Linked DNA regions of Macaca mulatta. The main gene of each other region encodes a partner of the protein of the gene in region 3 in a complex. Links are inferred from orthologs where the notes say so. Each region holds a gene or a part of one and is shown on either strand. Other genes may lie near its edges.

Evidence for each region.
Region 1: the proteins of AGT (region 3) and ANPEP are in contact, whole or in part, in a crystal structure (PDB 4FYS), measured with the Homo sapiens proteins. The link is inferred for Macaca mulatta from reciprocal best matches to the Homo sapiens genes AGT and ANPEP. Residues at the interface, in NP_001369746.2 of Homo sapiens: Val27, Tyr28, Ile29, His30, Pro31, Phe32; in NP_001141.2 of Homo sapiens: Gln211, Gln213, Ala351, Gly352, Ala353, Met354, Glu355, Arg381, Val385, His388, Glu389, His392, Glu411, Glu418, Asn438, Arg442, Phe472, Tyr477, Ile864, Phe896, Ser897, Asn900, Gln903, Ala904, Arg907.
Region 2: the proteins of AGT (region 3) and DPP3 are in contact, whole or in part, in a crystal structure (PDB 5E2Q), measured with the Homo sapiens proteins. The link is inferred for Macaca mulatta from reciprocal best matches to the Homo sapiens genes AGT and DPP3. Residues at the interface, in NP_001369746.2 of Homo sapiens: Asp25, Arg26, Val27, Tyr28, Ile29, His30, Pro31, Phe32; in NP_005691.2 of Homo sapiens: Phe109, Glu316, Tyr318, Glu329, Phe381, Gly385, Ile386, Pro387, Ala388, Gly389, Ile390, Asn391, Ile392, Asn394, Arg399, Val412, Leu413, Val415, Ala416, Phe443, Val447, His450, His455, Glu507, Glu508, Asn545, Arg548, Leu552, Glu555, Phe556.
Region 4: the proteins of AGT (region 3) and REN are in contact, whole or in part, in a crystal structure (PDB 6I3F), measured with the Homo sapiens proteins. The link is inferred for Macaca mulatta from reciprocal best matches to the Homo sapiens genes AGT and REN. Residues at the interface, in NP_001369746.2 of Homo sapiens: Asp25, Tyr28, Ile29, His30, Pro31, Phe32, His33, Leu34, Val35, Ile36, His37, Asn38, Glu39, Lys91, Leu92, Ala95, Met96, Met99, Leu100, Phe103, Arg107, Arg148, Ala151, Ile152, Gly154, Gln353, Gln354, Asn355, Asn358, Glu391; in NP_000528.1 of Homo sapiens: Tyr81, Met82, Thr84, Gln85, Val102, Asp104, Gly106, Ser107, Asn109, Ser118, Arg119, Leu120, Tyr121, Thr122, Val125, Tyr126, Leu147, Arg148, Tyr149, Ser150, Pro181, Ala182, Leu183, Pro184, Met186, Leu187, Ala188, Glu189, Phe190, Val193.

What each region holds. Positions count from the first base shown.
Region 1 is NC_133412.1:79,602,149-79,606,088, forward strand, and holds part of ANPEP (aminopeptidase N), read right to left. Parts: intron 3,317-3,940; coding exon 3,176-3,316; intron 2,802-3,175; coding exon 2,720-2,801; intron 1-2,719. UniProt on the Homo sapiens protein: Broad specificity aminopeptidase which plays a role in the final digestion of peptides generated from hydrolysis of proteins by gastric and pancreatic proteases.
Region 2 is NC_133419.1:7,923,663-7,927,602, reverse strand, and holds part of DPP3 (dipeptidyl peptidase 3), read left to right. Parts: intron 1-1,217; coding exon 1,218-1,348; intron 1,349-1,460; coding exon 1,461-1,591; intron 1,592-1,664; coding exon 1,665-1,782; intron 1,783-2,642; coding exon 2,643-2,883; intron 2,884-3,040; coding exon 3,041-3,153; intron 3,154-3,514; coding exon 3,515-3,607; intron 3,608-3,940. UniProt on the Homo sapiens protein: Cleaves and degrades bioactive peptides, including angiotensin, Leu-enkephalin and Met-enkephalin. Also cleaves Arg-Arg-beta-naphthylamide (in vitro).
Region 3 is NC_133406.1:18,331,545-18,335,588, forward strand, and holds the start of AGT (angiotensinogen), read left to right. Parts: upstream 1-1,244; 5' UTR 1,245-1,281; intron 1,282-4,044. UniProt on the Homo sapiens protein: Essential component of the renin-angiotensin system (RAS), a potent regulator of blood pressure, body fluid and electrolyte homeostasis.
Region 4 is NC_133406.1:61,903,662-61,907,601, forward strand, and holds part of REN (renin), read right to left. Parts: intron 3,454-3,940; coding exon 3,265-3,453; intron 2,760-3,264; coding exon 2,605-2,759; intron 1,963-2,604; coding exon 1,844-1,962; intron 867-1,843; coding exon 670-866; intron 1-669. UniProt on the Homo sapiens protein: Renin is a highly specific endopeptidase, whose only known function is to generate angiotensin I from angiotensinogen in the plasma, initiating a cascade of reactions that produce an elevation of blood pressure and increased sodium retention by the kidney.

The DNA.
Region 1 (3,940 bases), on a different chromosome or scaffold from region 3:
GTTTAAACACAGAGTAACCAAATGACCCAGCAATTCTTCTCCGAGGTGTATACCCAAGATAAATTGCCGGGCGCGGTGGCTCAAGCCTGTAATCCCAGCACTTTGGGAGGCCGAGACGGGCGGATCACGAGGTCAGGAGATCGAGACCATCCTGGGTAACACAGTGAAACCCCGTCTCTACTAAAAATACAAAAACTTAGCCGGGCGAGGTGGCAGGCGCCTGTAGTCCCAGCTACTCAGGAGGCTGAGGCAAGAGAATGGCGTGAACCCGGGAGGCGGAGCTTGCAGTGAGCTGAGATCCGGCCACTGCACTCCAGCCTGGATGACAGAGCAAGACTCCGTCTCAAAAAAAAAAAAAAAAAAAAAAGATAAATTAAAACATGTTTGTACAAAATTTGCATGTGAAGGTCCATGATATTCATAATAGCCAGAAGACTGAAACAACCCAAATGACCATCAATGATGAGCTGAAAACAAAATATGGTACATCCATGCAATGGAACATTATTCAGTCATAAAAAGGAATGATCCCTGCTACCATATGCATGAATCTTGAAAACATTATACTGGCCGGGCACGGTGGCTCAAGCCTGTAATCCCAGCACTTTGGGAGGCCGAGACGGGCGGATCACGAGGTCAGGAGATCAAGACCATCCTGGCTAACACGGTGAAACCCTGTCTCTACTAAAAAATACAAAAAACTAGCTGGGTGACGTGGTGGCGGGTGCCTGTAGTCCCAGCTACTCGGGAGGCTGAGGCAGGAGAATGGCGTAAACCCGGGAGGCAGAGCTTGCAGTGAGCTGAGATCCGGCCACTGCACTCCAGCCTGGGCGACAGAGCGAGACTCCGTCTCAAAAAAAAAAAAAAAAAAAAAAAGGAAAACATTATACTAAGTGAAAGAAGGCAGACAGACACAAAAAGGTCATGTATCTATGATTCCATTTTATGAAACATCCAGAATAGGTAATAAATCCATAGAGACAGAAAGTATATTAGTGGTTGCCAGGGGCTGAGGGGACCAGGTAGGAATGAGGAGTGACTGCTAATGAGTATGAGGTTTCTTTTTGGTGTAATGAAAATGTTCTGGAATTAGACAGTAGTGATGGTTGTACCACGTATTTTTTTGTTTGTTTGTTTGGTTGGTTGGTTTTGGTTTTTTGAGACAGGGTCTTGCTCTGTCGCCCAGGCTGGAATGCAGTGGCACCATCTCGGCTCACTGCAACCTCTGCCTTCCTGCTTCAAGCGATCCTCTCACCTCAGTCTCCCGAGTAGCTAGGACTGCAGGTATGCACCACCATGCCCAGCTAACTTTTGTATTTATTTATTTATTTATTTATTTATTTATTTAGAGATGAGGTCTTACGAGATTGCCCAGGCTGGTCTCAAACTCCTGGGTTCAAGGGATCCTCCTGCACTGGTCTCCCAAAGTGCTGGGATTACAGTCATGAAGCACCCCACCCACCCCACCTTGTTAGTACACTGAAAACCACTTAAAATGGTGAGTTTGATGGTTCATTAATTATATATCAATTTTTTTTTTTTTTTGAGACAGCGTCTCACTCTGTCACTGAGGTTGGAGTGCAGTGGCTCAATCTTGGTTCACTGCAACCTCTGCCTCCTGGGTTCAGGCAATTCTTCTGCCATAGCCTCCCAAGTAGCTGGGACTACAGGGACTCCCCCACCACACCCAGCTCATTTTTGTATTTTTAGTACAGACGGGGTTTCACCATGTTGGCCAAGCTGGTCTGGAACTCCTGACCTCAGATGATCCACCCACCTTAGCCTCCCAAAGTGCTGGGACTACAGGCGTGAGCCACCATGCCCAGTGAATTACATCTCAATTTTTAAAAAAGACAAACTAAATCCAAGTTGAGTTTGTCAAGCTTCTAATTCAAACATATATATCAATTGTAAAAAGACCTTTTATAAACAACTCAGAAAATTGAATATGGCTTGGGTATAAGATGATAGTAAGAAGATAGTTATTTTCCTGGGTTTGCTAAGGACAGTGTGATTATGTTTTAAGAATGCCTTTATTGCTGGGTGCAGTGGCTCATGCCTGTAATCTCAGCACTCTGGGAGGCTGAGGTGGGTGGATCACTTGAGGTCAGGAGTTCAAGACCAGCCTGGCCAACATGGTGAAACCCCGTCTCTACTGAAAATACAAAAAATAGCCAGATGTGGTGGCGCATGCTTGTAATCCCAGCTACTCGGGAAGCTGAGGCAGGAGAATTAATTGAACCTCGGAGGCGGAGGTTGCAGTGAGCAGAGATCGCACCACTGCACCACTCCAGCCTGCATGACAGAGTGAGACTCAGTCTCAAAAAAAAAAAAAAAAAAAAAAAGAATGCCTTTATTTTTCATAAGACTAAATTATTTAGAAGTAAAATTATATAGTGTCAGTGATTTGCTTTAAAATTGCCCACCCAGAAAGAGTACTGGCAAAATGTTGATAATTGTTGAACCTGGGTAATGGGTACACGGAGGTTCCTTATACCACTCTTTCCTTTTGTGCCTATACGAAAATCCCAAGATGAATTTTTTTTAAATTGAATTATCAACACTTCCAAAGTCTGGCTACTCGGCTTCCTCTGTAAATGAGGAAGGCCTGGCGGCGTGGAGCCTGTGCTCCCTCAGGGCCACAGTCGGGGAAGAATGCAGTGCCCTTTGGCCTGCGAAGGAAGTAGGCAGAGCCCAGGGCTGGGGAATGACTTCTTACCTGCTGCAGCTCATACTCGGTGGAGAATCGTCGTGTCACTGCCTGGATGAGGTTGGAGAAGGAGAACGAGCCACCACCATAACTGCAAGGAGGGAGAGAGGTGAACTGTGAGGGAGGCCGGGAACTAAGGAGGCTCATCCTCACACCTACTGGAGAGGGAGCCATGATTATAGAGGAGATGAAATGATATGCCCTGGAAGACCCCACTAGGACATGGGGGAGTCACAGCTTGAACACAGCTCTGACTGCCGAGTTCCTCACTCCCCTCTCTTTTTCCTTCCAAATGGGAAAAGGGACGGCCCGTACCCCAGCTTGTCTTTCCATTCCTGCCCCCACGCTTGGCTGATTTTTGTCCACTCCTGGGCAGTGCCCCCGGCGTGTCTTACGTGCACAGACCACCCCTTGGGGCCCCAGCCTCAGCGCTCGCTGTGCCTGACACCCACTCCACAGACTCACTCATTAAAGAGCTTCTTCCAATTGCTCTGGACAAAGTCCCAGACCAAACTTTGTCCGATGACATTGTTGGTAATGCTGATGATGGTAGAGGTGGCATCCTGCTTCCGGATTAAGTCGGGGTTCAGGGTGTAGCTCAGGTACCTAAGAGGGCCAGATGCTGAGTCAGCTACTGCTAATTTCATAAAGAGCACAACTTTTGAAAATCAACTGGATCAATAGGATGTATGCTATGATTTCCAGTTTTTAATGATAAATGTTTTTTGTGGCTTCAGGCCTTTCATCTTGAAAGATTTTATAATAGAATATAAAGTAACAGAGTAAAGGTGAAATGGCTATTAAAATGAATCAAGGCCGGGTGTGGTGGCTCACACCTGTAATCCCAGCACTTTGGGAGGCTGAGGCGGGCAGATCACGAGGTCAAGTGATCGAGACCACCATGGCCAACATGGTGAAATCCCGTCTCTACTAAAAATACAAAAAATTAGCTAGGCGCGGTCGCATGCTCCTGTATTCCCAGGAGGCTAAGGGTGGAGTATCACTTGAACCCAGGAGGCAGAGTTTGCAGTGAGCTGAGATTGCACCACTGAACCCCAGCCTGGCGACAGGGTGAGACTCCGCCTCAAAAAAAAAAAAAAAAGAATCAAAACTCATCATTTTTGAAAAATAAGTTGGGGAAAATACATCAATTCTGTTGAATGAGTGTCTAAACGTAAGCATTTTGCAGTCTCAAAAATGAATCAATTATTTTAAATAAATCCTTTATTT
Region 2 (3,940 bases), on a different chromosome or scaffold from region 3:
AGGAGGGAACACATCCCATGTCTCCATGGGCAAAGTCACAGTTGAGCTGGACATGATGGCTCATACCTGTAATCCCAGCTATTCAGGAGGCTGAGCCAGGAGGATCGCTTGAGCCCAGCAGTCTGAGATCAGCTGGGCAACCTTGCAAGATCCTATCTCAAATTAAAAAAAAAAAAAAAGGTGTAAGACAGGAAATATTGTGGCTGTTTTTGCTCGTTTGTTTGTTTTTACATAGCCTTGAAGTATATTTTATTGATCAGAGACAACAAGGAAAATACAATAGTGTGTAAACATCCCATTGCTTCTGTAACAAATTGCCACAAATTTAGTGGCACAAAACAACATGAACTTATTACAGTTGCAGGGGTCCAGAGTCTAAAAGCAAGGCTGGGCCGCATTCATTTTGGAGTCTCAGGAGGAACCTGCCCCCACTTGCCTTTTCCAGCTTCTGGAAGGCTGCCCAGCCCCCCCAACTTCACTCCAGCTCCCTTCTGCTATCGTCACAGCTCCTTTTCCCAGCCACCCTCTTGTCTCCCCGTGGGACTGTTGATTACGTTTGGGATGTGACTGTCTTTTTAAATCCAATCTGCTACTTGCTGTCCACGTAAGCTCTCGATGCCTTAGTTTCCCATCAGTGAAATGGAGATGATAATTTCTGCCTCCCCCCAGAGTTAGAGTGAGGCTTAAAGGAGTTAACACATGGAAAGCACATGTTATGTGATACATATATTTTTGTTTTTTAGTTTTTGGGTTTTTTTGTTTTCATTTTTGTGTTTGTTTTTTTGGGCTGGAGTCTCTCTCTGTTGCCCAGGCTGGAGTGCAGCAGCGCGATCTCAGCTCACTGCAACCTGTGTCTCCTGGCTTCAAGCGATTTTCCTGCTTCAGCCTCTTGAGTAGCTGGGATTACAGGTGCCTGCCACCACGCCCAGCTAATTTTGTATTTTGAGTAGAGACGGGATTTCACCATGTTGGCCAGACTGGTCATGAACTCCAGACCTCAGGCGATCTGCCCGCCTCGGCCTCCCAAAGTGCTGGGATTACAGGTGTGAGCCACCGTGCCCGGCTGATATATATATTTTGGAAGACGAGAGTTTATACTCATGTCTGTTGGCTACAGGGAGCCATTGAAGATCTTAGAGTGAAAGAGTGCTACGGGGAAAAGCTGACGGAGGTGTCTTACTCCGGCCTTTTCTCTGAGTGACACCTTCTTTCCCCAGAGCCTTCCCTGGACTCTGAGATGACTTCCAAGCTGAAGAGCTATGAATTCCGGGGAAGCCCTTTCCAGGTGACCCGAGGGGACTATGCGCCCATCCTCCAGAAGGTGGTGGAGCAGCTGGAGAAAGCCAAGGTTGGACTGGCTGGGGACTGAGGTGTGCGGGCTGAGGACCCCTCTGGGCAGCAAAGCTGGTGTGGAGGTGGGTTGACCTCACACAAGGCTGACCGACTCCTGCTCACCTCAGGTGTATGCAGCCAACAGCCACCAGGGGCAGATGCTGGCCCAGTATATAGAGAGCTTCACCCAGGGCTCCATCGAGGCCCACAAGAGGGGCTCCCGCTTCTGGATCCAGGACAAAGGCCCCATCGTGGAGAGGTGAGCCGCCAGCTCCACCCCACCCGCCCCCTCCTGCCCGCCCCTCCTCCACCTCTGCCCTTCTCTCCCCCAGTTACATCGGGTTCATCGAGAGCTACCGTGACCCCTTTGGTTCCCGAGGAGAATTTGAAGGTAACTTCCTCGGGGAGGAGGAGGTCAGTCACAGTCCCTTCCCCCACATCCAAGTCCACGTGTCCAGTGTCCCCTGATGGTTCTCCCCACCCCCACTCAGCCATAACCATAACAATAACAACAGCCATCGTAAATAAACACCATTTACAGTGTATTGGGCACTGTTGTAAGAAGCTTAGCTATATTAACTAATTTAGAGTTCACCCCATGAGGATGTTTATCCTCACTTAGCAGGTGTGAGCACTGAGGCACAGTTGGGGGGTGACCCAGAAACTCTGGCTCTGAGCTACTTTGCTGTGCTGCCTCTGGTGTCTGGTCAGGGCACAGGCTCCAGGTAGACATGTGCCTCCCAAGCCTAGCTTCACCACTTCCAGGCTGTGTGACCTTGGGCCAAATAGCCTGACCTCAGCACCAGTGCGGTTAGGATGCAGACTGCTACACTCAGTGGCTGGAAGCAGGATGGACATTGTGACTGGACCTGACCTGGGGCTGTCATCCCAGGCTGGTGGCAGGCTGCCTCGGCCCCCACCCCCTTCCCCAGGGGACCCACCTGTGGAAGGCAGGGCATCCAGCCTGAGGATTCAGCCACTTCTCTGGCTGCCCTAATCCTCCCCAGCCGCTGGATGTAGAAGAGTCTGAGCATCTGCCTGTTAAAGCCGGAGAGATTAGTCTGGGAGGAGAGCACACAGCCTGTTGGGGCTCAGGGGTGAGCCGCTAGACCCAGGCCCAGGGAGAAGGGGCAGGCGGCCCAGGGGCCTGAGGGGAAGACAGGTTTGTGCAGCTGCAGCTTTCCTGTCCAGGTCCTGACCTAGTAGGGCCCAGACCTGGGTCACTGCTGTCCCCAGCTGCCAGCCCAGGGTGACTGCATACAGTAGGCATTCAGTACATGCGTGATGGCTGGAGTAGGGTGAAGTGAGAGCCCTCCTGGAACCCTGCCAAGCCACAGCTCCCTCCCTCCCCTGCAGGTTTCGTAGCTGTGGTGAACAAGGCCATGAGTGCCAAGTTTGAGCGGCTAGTGGCGAGCGCAGAGCAGCTGCTGAAGGAGCTGCCCTGGCCCCCAGCCTTTGAGAAGGACAAGTTCCTCACCCCCGACTTCACCTCCCTGGATGTTCTCACCTTTGCTGGCTCCGGCATCCCTGCTGGCATCAACATCCCCAATTGTAAGTGTTGGCAGGCCCAGCCCCCGAGCCCCAGAAGCCTCCTTTTAGAGTCGCCCCTCCCTCTCCACACACACACTCTCCACAAACTGCCCTGTGCCTCTTGTCTGTGACCTTTGACCCTTGCCTCTTCTTCCTGGTCCTCCTCCGCCTTCTCCAGACGATGACCTGAGGCAGACGGAAGGCTTTAAGAACGTGTCACTGGGGAATGTGCTGGCTGTGGCCTACGCCACGCAGCGGGAGAAGCTCACCTTTCTGGAGGAGGATGACAAGGTGGGTGCCAGCAGTTGGAGGGTTGGGGCTGGGCCTCACCTTCCTCAGCGGACTCGGGAAGGCAGACAGCCCAGAGCAGTAGAGAGGAAAGCACACAGCTTCCATCCTGGCTCTGCCACTTCCCAACCACATGACCGTGCGGACTTTGGAGCCTCGGTTTCTTCTCGGGTCACACTAGGGGGGCATCCCTCCCTTCCTCCTGGGTTGTTGCAAGGATGAGATGGGCTGTGGGGTGGAGCACAGTCGGCCTTTACCAAGTACATGCACTGAGATGGGCCCATGGCCCGGGGGAGGGGAGGCCGACAGGCTCTGTGGCCAGGGCCGGCCAGTGGACAGCGCAGGTCTCTGCTTGTCTTGGCAGGATCTGTACATCCTCTGGAAGGGGCCCTCCTTCGATGTGCAGGTGGGCCTGCACGAGCTGCTGGGCCATGGCAGCGGCAAGCTCTTCGTACAGGTAAGAAGGCAGCGGCCAGCCCTGGTACCCCAGCCCACAGCTCCACTCCCCACAACCTGCCCTACCCAGTGGTGAAGCTGCTCTAGCCTCTGCCCTCAGGGGCTGTGGGTTGGGTGGGGAAAACGGCCCCTTAAGCAGAGAAGACCCTGTCTTGCCCTTCCTCAAGATGTCCCAGGAGCTCAGAGGCCTGGTGTAGAGCCGGGGTGTAGAGGGCCCTCTGGGACAGTTCAGCTGCTGTTCCCCACACCAGGAGGAATTGCTTGGCTCAGGCTAAGGAAGCACACCCTAAGGGCGTGGCTCCAGCAGCCCCAGGACAGACACTGGGGGTAGGGG
Region 3 (4,044 bases):
TTCTGGGCTCAAGTGATCCTCCTGCCCCAGCCTCCCAAGCAGCTAGGACTACCAGTGCATACCACCATATCCAGTTAGTTTTATTTTTTGCACAGATGGGGGTCTTGCTATGTTGCCTAAGCTGGTCTCAAACTCTTGGCCTCAAACTATCTTCCTGCCTCAGTTTTCCAGAGTACTTGGGTTATAAATGTGGGCCACTGCACCTGGCCCCCAATCTTGATGGGGAGCAGGTTTCTGCATGTGTGTCAACCCCAGCTCCTTGAGAGTGCGGCCTGAAGTCCTTGGTCCCGGAGGCTCAGCAGGAAATAGGACAGTGACTGCATAAGCTTGTGAGAACCTGTGGCCAGGCAGCAGCAGCCGTTTGGCCAGGGCTTGTCTCCTGCAGCCCTCCTGCCCAGTACCCGGGCCTGCTTGTATTCCCCTACACGTGCCCCCCATGCTCTCCCTCTTGTTGGTGAGTGTCACTCAAGCCTCTGCCTCAGAAAAGCCCTTCTGCAGCTTCCAAGTCAGACCAGCTCCTCCTCCAGGTGCAGGCCCAGTGATATCTGTCCCTCGCCCCTCGCCAGCTTGCACAGGTGAATGCTTTCTGCATCCTGAAGGCATTTCGTTTGTGTCTTTTAATCTGGCTGTGCTACTGTTGGTGTTTAACAGTCTCCCCAGCTACACTGGAAGCGACCAGAAGGCACTTTTCACTTGCTCGTGTGTTTTTCCCAGTGTCTATTAGAGGCCTTTGCACAGGGTAGGCGCCAAATGGCTGTTGGGAGCAGCTGAAGGTCACACATCCCATGAGCAGGCAGCAGGGTCAGAAGTGGCCCCCGTGTTGCCTGAGCGAGACGCTCCCCTGCCCTCTGCCCTCCGCGCCTCCGGCCTGCATGTCCCCGTGGCCTCTTAGGGGCACATCCCGGGGCTGGGTCAGGAGGTCTGGGCGGTTGGCCTTAAGCTGTCACACACCCAGGGAGATGCTGCTGTTTCTGGGAACCTTGGCCCCCACTCCTGCAAACTTCGGTAAATGTGTAACTCGACCCTGCACCGGCTCACTCTGTTCAGCAGTGAAACTGTGCATCGATCACTAAGACTTCCTGGAAGGGGTCCCAGCGTGAGTGTCCCTTCTGGCGTCTGTCTTTCTGGCCAGCCTGTGGTCTGGCCACATGATGTAACCCCCCTCCAGCCTGTGCACAGGCAGCCTGGGAACGGCTCCATCCCCACCCCTCAGATATAAATAGGGCCTCATGACGCGGCCAGGGGAAGAAGCTGCCATTGTTCTGGGTACTACAGCAGAAGGTAAGCCGGGGGCCCCCTCAGCTCCTTCTCAGCCTTGTCCCTCTCAGACGTAACTGAGCTGTGGGCCGGAGGGAAAAGGCCGGGAGGGGCACTGGTGATGGCTGAAGCATCTCTCCCCTCCCATAAGACCAGTCATCTGGACGCAGGCTTTCTCCGCTCAGTGCCCACCCAGGGGTCTCCCAGGAGGAGCTGCTCCTCCTTAGCAATAGGACCAGATGGTCAGGTCTTCCTGCTTCGGCTGAGAAGAGTTCGGGTCCTCAGGGATGGAGCAGACTGGCACAGGAGCAGAGTCATCATGGTCAAGAGTCCACCAGGTCCTCTTGCCATCAGGAGGAACAGCAGGGCTTGTACAGGAAGTGGGGCCACAGGGAAGGGCTGGGCCCGGTCAGTCCCCAGCTGGGATCCCCAGAGTGGTCACCCTACCCCTCCCTCGAGACAGATTCCCTGACTGTGTCATCAGGCTGGTCACCATCTCTCTGAACCTCGATTTGCTCACCTATAAAATGGGACTAGTAACGATGCCTGGGCTCCCTCTCTCAGGGGCTGTGGTGCAGCTGAAGAGAACTAATACAACATGAAAGTACTTTCTAAGCTTTGGGATAAGCTAAAAGGCAGATTCCAATTTCATTCAAGGGCAGCGTAGATTGGTGCTTAAACTTGTGGATGACAGAGTCAGAGGGCCTGGTTCTGAGTCCTAGTTCTGTCTCTTCCCAGCTGTGTGACTTTGCACAAGTCACTGGACCTCTTTGTTCCTCTGGAAAACAGCAGGAACCAATTCATTAACTACTTCTCCAGGATGCATTAGGTCCCGGGGACTGTCCTGGGAATGTGGGCTGTATTAGGAAACATAGCAGTGGGAACCCTGCTCCGGGGCTCACATTCACGTCAGGGCAAACAGACAAAGACGCTGGACAGCACAAGTGCGTAACTACATGGTACAGGGGTTATAAGGAGGGAAAAGGGGAGCCGGATGAGAGAGTTGAGAGTGCCCGGTGTGGTGGGGAAAGCTGCAGGGTGAAATACGGCACCAAGGAAACCTCAGGGAAGGTGAGGACTATGATGAGGTCAGAGGGGTTGATATAAGAACGATGCCCTGCAAATCACAGGCACCACGGGAGCGTGAGCCGTCATCTTCACCTGTAGCATTCAGCCTGGGGGAAGTAGGGAGACATAGAAGGGGCAGGTGCTGGCAAAGAGGCAGGGGCAGGAGGGGAGAAGGCGGAGGGGCGCTCCAGGCAAGGGTGTCAGGCCCGCCACCCCAGAGCACCATTACTCCCAGGACGCGGCTGGGTGCAGACCTGGAAACAGCCTAGGGAGCAGCTGCAGATCACAACTGAGAACAAACGACAGTCTCTGCCTTAAAAATGGCCCAAGGAATTGCGTCTCTGGAGATGGTACCTGCGCAGGAGCAGCACAGTGAGTGGGCTGCACCGACCAGCGCCATCCAAACCCCGAACAGGTGGCGCTTGTCAGGCAGGACTTCCCAGCAGTCGGTTCCCACAGGTTTCCCCTGACGACCTGATGTGATGTGACTGTCTAGATTAGGTGAGAACTGGTGGCTCAGGCTTCTCTGCACAGACAGGCCTGCAAGCAGCAGAGAGAGTTTTCTGTTCTGTTTTTCCATGTCGTGTGGCTCTTCCTGAGAACAGCGGATGGAGTCAACGCATGGGGAGTGGGGTGAGGCGGTAGCTGAGGTCAGAAGTCAAAGTCTCTTTGGCATTTGAATGACTGAAGCAGAACGAAACACACCAGGTACTTCAGCAGTTGCACCGTGTTGAGGGCAGGTGCTGGTTACCGGTCTGGGTGGGGGAAGCCAGCTGCTAATGTAAGAAGAATGACTGGGTGTGCTTAGGTGAAGCAGAAAAATCTAGGCATCAAGGTGGCCTCGAGTCAGTGATGACCTGCTACAGCTCCAAGGAAGCCTGGCGTAGCCCTGGGGGGACAGAAAAGGCTAAGCAGTGACGATATTGCAGTATACCCCCTCCACAAGAAATGAGTGAGATGTGGTACAAACTGTTAGAATTGAATGAATCAATAGAATCAACGTTCATCCCGTCAATCAGGAAGAGTCAGATGAAATGAATTAGCAGGGCCAGCCCAAGAACCTTGTCTTCTGGGGTCTCGGGGTAGTCTTCATTTGCAGCAGCTGAGGCTGAAGCCCAGTGGCAAGGCCTTTGAGAGAACATGGTGCCGGATCCGTGTCTAAGGCAGGGGTTCTAAACCCTGCTTACATATCAGAGCCACCTGAGAAATTTTTTTTTTTAATTTTTATTGTTTTAATCTAAGGAATCCAAGTATCAGTGGGCAAACCATGCTAGGTGTGCATGCCTTTGGGGCTCTGCAGGGGATAGCACTATGGAGGGATGGTTGAGAGCTGGTTTTGGGGTTGAGACACGTGGAAAATACTTGGGCTTTGGGTTGAGCCTGTGGTGCTCAATCCTGGCTGCATATTAGGACCACAAGGAGATGAGAAAACCATTCCCAACCCTCACCCTAGGGCCCTTGAATGAGCATCTCAGGGGTCTAGGAGGCCTCCGCAAAGACCTACTGATTGGCACGTATGTGTTTTTCTAGGAGAGAACTTATAGCCGCAGGCAGGAGCATGTCTTAGTGTGCTTGGGCTGCCATAAGTACCACAGACTGGGAGGCTTCAACAACAGAAATGTATTATCTCACAGTTCTGGAAGCTAGAAGCCCGGGAGCAAGCCATCAGCAGAGTTGGTTTCCTCTGGGGCCTCTATCCTTGCCTTGTAGATGGCTGTC
Region 4 (3,940 bases), about 44 Mb from region 3:
TGGTTTTCAGCACCACACTCGCTGCCTGCCTGTGACACTCATTACATTGGAATATGTCTTGTCTTCCCTGTTAGCCTGTAAGCTCTATGTGGGTAGGGGAGTACAGATTCTGCCTTGTTCACTGTGTTCACTGCTGCACCCCCAGAGCCTCGCACAGTGCTTGGCACATAGCATTTACTGAACTGATGAGTGGGCAAACAAATGAAGGATCTAATGGATGACTGAAGTTGGCTGTCTCTGTGTGGGAGGAGCCATGGCCCTCACAGGCAGGGCTCCAGGTCACAGTAATCCCTTATTTCCCATCATCCCCACCTTGCATCTCCTCTTGCTCCAGAGTGGTACTGTCTATTAGAATGTCCTGCCAAGCTGGGAATGTTCTCTATCTGCACTGTCCAAAACCGTAGTTACTAGCCACCGCGGCTGCCAGACATTTGACACGTGGCTAGTGCAACTAAGAGCCACCAGTTGAATGCTTAATTGATGCTTAACTGTATTGAATTAATTTAAATTTCAATGGTGCCTTCCACATTGGCTAGTACAGCTCTAGATATTGATTGACGGTCATCTAATCACAAACGCTTAACAATTCTGGCCCAGGCTCTCCTTCCACTCCCCAGCTCTTCTCCCCTCCTCTCCCCCCACCTCAGCCCCTGGAGTCCCAGTCCCCACCTGTTGTAGTAGAAAGAGAAGACGTCCTCTTTTAGCACCCCTTGGGAGAGGATGTTGTCGAAGATAGGGGTGACCCTGCCAATGGCCTGTTCAATGAAGCCCATGCCCACAACCCCATCAAACTCGGCCAGCATGAAGGGTAAGGCAGGCATCTCCGTGACCTCTCCAAACATCTGTGTCACTGTGATTCCACCCACCTGTGGGAGGAAGGACCAGAGGAGACCAAGCCCACTGCCTGCTCCTTGGCTGGAGTCTGGTCTGGGCTTCCACACTAGGGATCCCAGGGCCACACAGGCTTCAGGGTACAGAATTTGGGGTAAGAGTGTTTCCTCAACTCTGCATGCACACACTCTGTGTACGCCAATGTGTATGCCAATACGTCTGTGCCACAGAGCCGAGAGAGAGCTGGAGTTGACCAGGGATTGGACAGCAGAGGCTGAGAGGGTGGTCCTGCCAAGCAGCAAAAGGAAAGCTGCCAAGAGCGCCTCCCCCTCCCCAGTGGCCCGCCTTTCGTGCCCGGCAGGACTAGGTCTTGGCCCCCACGCTTATCATGGGCGAGGGTTTCTTCAGCACAGCCAACCTTGCCCTTCTCCCTTCTTTATATCTGAGTTCACAGAAAAAGGGAGGGAGGCAGGAATCACCCTGATTTTCTGTCAGGCCCCATGTGTGCCCCCCCCCTAACTCTGATGGAGCAGGGCCTGAGAAACTCCAGAATGAGGAAAGGGTCAGACACGGGCCAAATAAAAAAAAAAGCAGGACTTGACCTGAATCCCAGAGTCAACCTCAACTGTGACCTTAAAACCTATGCCTGACCCTAAAACTCAGCCTGACCCTGACCCTGGATTTTAGTCTAGGGTGTAGCCCAGTCAGAGCTGGTGAACTTGGGCAAGTTACTTGACTGCAGCCATGGGGCTCACGACAACCCTACGTGCAAGTCAGATGCAAAAACGTCCATAAACCACCCAACAGTTAAGCCCGTAGCCCAAGCTTGCTCCCCCATAGGTACTGCTGCTTTGCAGCAACAGCCAGATGTGGCAGAGCAGGGTGCTCCTCAGCTCCCCAGGCTCCAAGTGGGCTACAGTGCACCTCCCCGCAGGTATGGCCCCTGGAGGGTCAGGAGAGGCCTGGGGACAGAAGGGGTTGGGAGCAGATGACCTAGGGCAACCCCACTTACGGTGATGATGTCCTGGCTCAGAAAGCCACTGACTGTCCCTGTTGAATAGCGGAGGGTGAGTTCCGTTCCATTGTGCTTGTAGCTGGAGGAATCCGAAGCATCGAAGAGCTTGTGATACACTGGCAGGGGGACAGAGGCTTAGGTTTGTCCAAGAGTGGCCCAGACAGGGGGACTCAGAGGCAGGGTGCATTGTGGGTATGGCTGGTGTGGCTTAGGACTTAGCTTAGGTACAGGGACGAGTGACTCTAGGGTCAGGAGGCTTGGAATATGTGCTTCATCAATCAAGGACTGGGTTTCTTGGGCCCCCCTAATGTGCCCATACCTCGATAATTTTGTCCTAAATGAAGGAATGTAAAGTAATCACTAACACTGATAACACCAGAGAAGATGCTGGGCACAGAGTAAGTGCCCAGTAAGAGGTTGTTGATTAAGACTAGGGATGGAAGAGTTCCGAGTGCCTGGGATGGGTTTGAGAATTCAGTCCTGTCTCAATCTCAGGAAGACTGGGAAGTAGCCTTCTGGGTGGTCAGGGATTCTTGGAGCTTTCTTTTTTTTTTTTTTTAAAAAACCTTGGTGGCTATATCAGAAAAATGGGAGACATCTTCCTCTCTCCCTTAAGTGTCAGGGTCAGTGGGTACAGAGGCAGAGAGGAAGGCACTCTCTTGGTGGCAAGAGGGATGGGAGCTAGGTGTGGGGCAGGATTGCTCATGCACAGTAGGGCAGGGGGATTGGGGAGAGGCACTGTGGGTCTTAGATCTCACCACAGGCAGTGTAGAGACGGCTGCACTTGGAGGAGGGCACCCAAACGTTGGACGAACCAGTGTCAAAGACGACTTTGAAGGTCTGGGGTGGGGTGCCGATGCCAATCTCGCCATAGTACTGGGTCTGTGGGGGTAAAAAGAGAGGGCTGGAGGGGCTCAGGGTCTTGGGGTCTTGTCTGGCTTCACTCTTGGCTGTCAGGGTAAGATTTCGCCCAGGTGAGGTCCTATAGCCTCTCGGGGTTTCTGCTGTCCTGCAGGAACTGGTAGGAGGCTTAGCATCGCCCCATGGCATCCCAGAAAGTGGGAATCTCAGTAAGACAAAATGGCGAAATCAAAACATTGAGAATGAAGCAGGATGCGAACTTGACCCTTGAGAATCTACTGGGGCAGGAAGCCGTCAGACTGTGCTGGACCAGGTCACAGAAACCCCCACCTGAGTCACACACCCCTTCCCACCCACCTGTGACACCTGGCTTAAGGCCTGGGCTGAGTTCCAAACCTAACCCTGCCCCTGAATGGCCCCTGAGTGCTTTCCTGTCTTCTGTGCTCAGGCTTTCCAACCAGAAAATGGGAATGTTCCTCAGCGCCTTCGTCAAACACAGCATAGGAAGGGAGAGTCTTGTGGCAAAGAAAGCCCTAGGTCCGTGGGGGAAAGGAGACAGGGAGGGAGGGAGCGAGGGGCTGGGCCAGGCACTCACATCCATGTAGTTGGTGAGGATCACGGAGGAGGTGGTGTTGCCAAGGGCCAGCCTCTTCATGGGCTGGCTCCACTCGGGACCAAGTCTGGCCATGTCCACACCTCGTTCCTTCAGGCTTTCTCGGATTGAGGGCATCCTCTTGAGGAAGATCCTGGCTCATGGTGGAGGAAGCAAAAATAGAAAAGTGCTGTACCCCCACCATAACGGTAGAGTCCCTGAGGCCAAATCCCTGCTTTTAGTACAACCACCTTTAATGTTAGCCCAGTCACCTGGAAATCACCTCTGTCCCTGAAGGCCTCTGGAGCATTTATAAGAGTTACCTCTTGTCAAGAGTCAATTTAGAGGAGTCAGCTGCCCGCGGATTAAATAACCCTGAAGTGACTTCCTTCTGTTGCCTAATTTTAATTAGACAAGGCTGTTTGTTTATTGGTCCGTTCATTCATTTATTCCATAATCACCTGCTGAACAACTACTTTGTGCCTCACTGTGCTGGAAACTGGAGCTAGAAAGATAACGATCATGACTGCTTTTAAGGAACTCCAGCTGGCAGGAGGACAGACGGGAAATAGGCACAGACATTCCCTCTGAAGAGATGAATGCCAGGGAGTGCCCCTGTCAAAACTAGGGGCTGGTGGGGA